Linked DNA regions of Xenopus tropicalis. The protein of the gene in region 2 purifies or fractionates together with the protein of the main gene of each other region. This does not show direct contact. Links are inferred from orthologs where the notes say so. Each region holds a gene or a part of one and is shown on either strand. Other genes may lie near its edges.

Region 1 (3,500 bases), about 37 Mb from region 2:
TAACCTATGCTTTGACTATAGTAGTGCACAATGGCATGAGATTGGAGAGAGCTCCATTAGTTGAATTGCAGTCTAACAAATTTCCTTGTGTGACATTATCCTTAATGTACATAAAATCCTCATAACTTCCCCAGTCATTTGACTTACTTTGGGACCCAGAAGGCCTGGCTGATCAGCGAGTACAGTAGCAAGTTCTTTCAAAGCAGACCTTAAAAATTTGCGCCTTTCTCTGTGTGTTGCTCCTCTTAAAAGAGAAAAAGAAAAAACAGAAAAAAATTAAATATTTTTATAAGAATGGAGGGCTATTGCTGTTGCAGCCAGAAGTGACCACGTCACTAAACAATGATCACCTGCTGTTCAACTACACCCTTACTATGACTTCCTAGGAATAAATGTAAAAAATTCAACTACAATTCCATTAGTTATTCGCCTTCCCTAGATTTTTTGCTCCAGCATTGACCTTGTGCTGACTGCCTCATAAACATTTAAAGAACCGCTCTTTACGCTAGAAGACAAATTGCACTTCTGTACAATTTTCCACTCCTAATCCTTTAGGCTTTATAGCTGTTCCTATAAACATACTCAGCCTGTCACTGCACAAACTATCACTAGAAAATATTAAGGTGGGGTCCAACATCATTAGAACAGTTTTATTTATTTATATGTCTTTTCACTGGACTATACCAAAAGAGATTTGTATATAAAGAATAGACTTCTGATGCCTAAGAGAAAGCTACACAAAAAGTATTATATTTGATAATTAAGTTAACATAAAACATACTTAATGAGTAATTAACACTATGAATTTGCGCACACACAAAAAATTCATGAAGGCAGACCTATGTCTACACAAGGATACATAACAGTAGTAAAGAAATATTACTTACGCATGTGATACTGCATTCTCTTTACACTCCCTGATGTCATTTATCCTTTTGTTGTAGCTGGAATAAAAAAAAAAAAGTAGATATTTTATAGAAAAAGTCTATTTAGAGGAAAATCTTACTGCATTAACTTGTTTTAAGGCTTAAATGTGTACATATGTTGTATGCCATATTTCACATTTTTTAAAAATATCTGTTTGTAAGAGCATAAAATATATTGTCAGTTGCAGCAAAAGAAAAAGGATACAAAATAAAAATTGCAGCTGCATATTAACAAATAATGTCTGCTGTAAATGAAAATTACTTGACTATTTTCAGTATTGTAGAGATTCCCATAGAATCTACAGCCTAACACAACACTTGTACCACTCAAAACTTGTACTTAGCGGCCATACACAGGCTGATAAAAGTTGCATACGAACAGTGTTGGCAGCTTATCAGCCTGTGTATGAAGCCCATCAATAGGCCCAGATATCCAGTGATATCTCGGTGAAAATAGCCAGATGTCGATCAAGCAGGTTTAAAAATTGCAGGTCAGGGTGAGGGGCACATAAGCTGGATTATGCGGTCCTCGCTTCAGATGCCTGTATCCGGTCAATGTGATCTAAAGGTTTTGGCACCTCGAGGTGGGGATATCTGAGAAAGATCCACTAATTTGGTGACCTTGCCAAAGATTTAGACCCCACATTAGAGTATCAGAATAGGTAAACTCTAATGTGGGGTCTAAATAAGGCACAATTCAAGAAGATTACTCCAATAGTTTTGCAATCGCAGCCCAGAACCATGCATATATTAGGACAAAGACACACGTGGCAATTAAAAGAAAAAAAAAAACCTTGAAAAAGTTGCAGTGACTATTAACCACACCGTAAACTATGAACGATTAGTTGCGTTGACTCGTATATTAATCTATAGCAGTTAAAATAGCTGCAATTAGTCGCCGCTACAGAGTTTTTTTTTTTTGTTTTTTTTAGCCGCAGTGACTAATCACCCTGTGTTCTTGGCCCTTAGAAGTGTCCCTAATTTTTCATGAACCTTTACACCACACGGTAAAATATATTTTATGTATTTTAAACAAACACTGTAGTCTGCACCAAACTGGATTCCAATCTTTCTCTGGGTACACATTCCTCTGTGTTCACCTCACAAGACCAAGTTATCCAATTATGAACAGCACTAACAAAATTAATCAACATTAATTCACATAATTGGCACAGAACAGGATAGCAATGTTTCAGGTCTACATTGACCCTTTGTTAGCTTGACAAAGCGTCAATGTAGACCTGAAACATTGCTATCCTGGTCTGTGCCAATTATGTGAATTAATGTTGATTAATTGTTAGTGCTGTTCATAACTGGATGTATTTTAAACAGCTCCCTGGATTTCTGCAAACAACTGGCTACTACTCCTTGTCTTTAGATCCAAGGTGAGTGCTTCATATTATACAACTGCAAGTACAATTTTCATTTGTTTTTATGTCATCTATCTTCTCCTTGGGTGGGTTTAATAAACATAGCATATACATCCATCTTGTAACAGCTGAGATTTAACTTTGAAAATATGGCTGGATATAAAGCATATTGAAACAGTATTTTACGGAGCAATATATATTGCACAAAAATGTTGCCTTTTAATATTTAAATTTCAAGCACAAAAACTCAGAATTACTATAGTTTTATTATGGTGTTTCAAACAGAAAACAGGTTCCTGTATGTAGAACCTCCATTCTTCCTTTTAACAAGAAGCAGTGCTTTGGCACGATGCTACCACTATTATTCTGCACCTGTTTAAAATTTTAAAAAATTAAACTGAAGCTTGAAAATTTCATCTTTCATGCAATGAATCCCCCAGCAAGGTCTAGGTAACACTGAAGTAGTTACAAACCTTTGAAAGACATTCTGGTGCATTAAACTTGTTTAAAGATTTTCAAATAAAGTAGTAGTGTTTCGCTCACCACAACAAGTAGCCGTGATCAAAATGGCAAGTGTGCCAGGACACTTACCCCCCTATGTAATAAAAGGTGCTATGTTTGCCCAGAAGCAGTAACCCATAGCAACCAGATGTTTGTTTTTAAACAGGCCATCAGTAAATGCTACCTGTTGATTGGTTGCTATGGGTTACTACTGCTGGGCAAACTTAGTGCCTTTTATTACATTACATCCTTAAAACCAACTGCAAGGATTTGTCTTGTTATTTCATAGAAGGAAAAAAAATATTACAACACACTATAAAGAATTAATATAAATTCATATAAAAAGCAGCTGACATTTTATTCTAGCTGACCAAAGGAGAAGAATATCTAGGCTACATCACAAGTACCCTCTAATGTTGACGAACAGATCTTCTGCTGCCTTGTGGATATGAAAAACTTCATCTCTGTAAAGACAGAGACATGAACTGCTCTGAAGGGCGAGCTTCCAAAGATTCAATGCTGTAGCATCAGTGTTGAGTATTCCATGGCACAAAATAAATCCAACTAGAAAAAAAAAATGAATGCTCTGTCAAATGTTATTTCCAAATGTGAAAAAAACTCACTACAGTGTATTAAAATTACAATAATTCTAAGTAACTTTGCAATATACAATGATTGCAAAAGTTCTCTATTTTATTGTTAT
Region 2 (2,727 bases):
TTGTAAGAGAAGGAAATGATCTCCTCCAAAAAAAAAAAAAAAAACACAACCCAACACCAATGCCGATAAACAGTTCTTACCAATCTCTTTAGCCATGGCGAGTCCCTGAGGGTAGGTAATTGGTGTGAGCTTCTTTTCTTTCAGCTTCTCAATAGTGTCTTTATCATCTCTCAGATCAAGTTTGGTGCCCACAAGGATAATGGGAGTGTTGGGACAATGGTGTCGCACTTCTGGGTACCACTGGGCAGAAGACAAACATTTACATAAGCACCAGAACAGTAAAGGGCTTCAGTTTCCTTTACAGAAAGGTTAGTGCCGTTATGTTATGTGAGAACCCAAGTGTTAAACAAAAAGAACAATTCTACAGAACAAAGGGTGTAGCTATACATACCCAGCCCTTGATCACCACCGCACAAAATGTAAATGCGGGTGAGAATGAAGGAGCCACAGTTACTGCACCAGGTGAGGGGGTTGTTGGCCCGGGCTACACTGTCCCTACAGTCAGGCCACCCCCTAAAGCAGTTTGCAGCAACCTGTCCTTTATACTCTACATCATTTCATATGGCTTGTCCATTTAATCACTCTGGCATGATAGCTGTAACTTATTATTATTATTATTATTGCTGTATGAGATATTCTAGGCCTACTACATGTAATATCTCATACAGGTTCAGATTAAATTAAAATGATTATGGAGCCTCTGAGCGGTCTGGGGGACATAAAAATCTTTTGGAGCTCCAAATCTGGCCCATGGGTCTCCAGTTGGACAGCCCTGGTCTAAACCAACACAACCCCATGGCACTAAGACTATAATTTAGAAAGTAACAAAAGACAGCCCCAGTACACCAGTCTTTGTTTTGGACAATCTGTATGTAGGTCAGTGCACTGGTAATATTAATGAATGGCAGCAGCCCCTGTGGCTTTATGTCACTGCCCAAACACCCCTCCTTCACCAGTTCATGTCATATTAATACGCAGCATTTCAGGACGCAGCTCTTACCTTAGCACGAACATTTTCGAATGAGGCTGGGCTAACCAGTGAAAAGCAAATTAAGAACACATCCTAAAAAAGAAAACAAAATAAACCACTGTAAAAATTCAAGTTGGCCCTCTGACTGCATGACAAGAGACACATACAAAATAAGCGCAAGCTACAATATATTAACAAGAAAGAATAAACAGGAGTAAATAGAACATAAAAATAAAATCACTTCCTGTTATTTTTCTGTGTTACCCCCGATCAGGGTATAATTTGAGATCAAGGTGACATTAAAGCATTAATTGTGCGCCACATGCAAGGGAAACAAGCTCTGTTCCAATTACAGCCCACACCAACAGAAGGTGGTTTGCATTGCCACCCACTCAGCTAGCGAAAGGGGAGAAAAACTCACCGACACATTGGAGGCTTTGGGGCTTGGGCTAAGGGCCTAACAGAAAATATTTAAGTTCAAATGCAGATTTGAATCTACAAGGCTTATTTTCTGTACATTTCTGAATACTGTATGAAAAAAATGGATTTTCATACACAGAATATGCAATGAGATTATCTTGTTTGTAAACACTATTTACATGCAGCAGTCGAAAGCTATGTCTGTTGTGTACGCCGCACCTGAAAATAACACACTTCTCAACAGCCCTATCCCATAGCTTTATAGGGCAGGTCAGCATCCTTCAGGTGTGTTGCAAGTCATGAGACTAATACAGTGAGTCAAAACCATAATAACTGGAACAGCTTATCTGTTCTGGCTGCTAATCTCTAGCCAGATTCTCAGGCATACTGGTTCCCCACAGAGTGGTTTGAGCAGATCATGCAGCCCCAATAACAACGGATGCCTTAATAAGAAATTCCGCTATATTCATACAGGGCACAACAAAATTATAAAGGAAAGGCAGCCAAACACTGCGTGATGCTACCTGATTCATCCGCCCACTGGCTAATTGGCCAGACAGGAAACAACGGGGCTGTACATGGAATATCCAAATTTCTATTTATCTGCATACATGATCAGAACTACAGGAGGAGAAGTGGAGCCGTGGATCCTCTTCACTTCATTTATTGATACCCCATAGACTAACAGATATAGCGAGCTGGCATATTAATTGTATGCCATACACACACAGAGAACCATAAAATACTCAATTTTCTACAACTGTATAGGTGCATGCATGGCCAAGCTTAAAACCTCTGCTTTCATTGCAGTAAACACACATACAGATATGGTAAATTACATAAGCACCATAATCTCCCACAGGTTGGACAGGGGAAGGGGAGTGGATACAAACACAAGACAATACACGTACAAACAGGTTTGCTATGGAAGATACTGTACACATTACAGCATTTGTGCAGAGCTAGATACAGTATCCATGGCATCCTGTGAGTGTACATGGACATTGTGACAACTGGCAAAATGTAAACTTTAAATAATTTTAAATCAGGACTTATATGGTGAAAATGGAATAGTGCAGCTAAAAAATAATGCAGGAAGTCCAGAAGAGCAGGGTGTAAGTTTAATTACAATCTTGCACAGCAGGAGGTCCTGAGAAGGTTTTACATTGGCGCCCAAAGGATGCTGGTCATTGCTGAATAAGTATAAGCGATAATGCTGGCTTTAATGCAAGGGGTAACGAATCAGGCATTTACCGTTTGAGGGTAAGACAATGGACGTAATCTGTCGTAGTCCTCCTGTCCGGCTGTATCCCATAACCCCAAATTAACTGGTTTTC

Evidence for each region.
Region 1: the proteins of rac1 (region 2) and nckap1 purify together in Homo sapiens (pull-down; 4 studies listed by BioGRID and IntAct, with this or other methods). This does not show direct contact. The link is inferred for Xenopus tropicalis from reciprocal best matches to the Homo sapiens genes RAC1 and NCKAP1.

The regions. Positions count from the first base shown.
Region 1 is NC_030685.2:62,003,957-62,007,456, reverse strand, and holds part of nckap1 (nck-associated protein 1), read right to left. Parts: intron 3,362-3,500; coding exon 3,205-3,361; intron 945-3,204; coding exon 888-944; intron 245-887; coding exon 148-244; intron 1-147. UniProt on the Homo sapiens protein: Part of the WAVE complex that regulates lamellipodia formation. The WAVE complex regulates actin filament reorganization via its interaction with the Arp2/3 complex. Actin remodeling activity is regulated by RAC1.
Region 2 is NC_030685.2:25,468,543-25,471,269, reverse strand, and holds part of rac1 (ras-related C3 botulinum toxin substrate 1), read right to left. Parts: coding exon 2,645-2,727; intron 1,064-2,644; coding exon 1,001-1,063; intron 241-1,000; coding exon 81-240; intron 1-80. UniProt on the Homo sapiens protein: Plasma membrane-associated small GTPase which cycles between active GTP-bound and inactive GDP-bound states.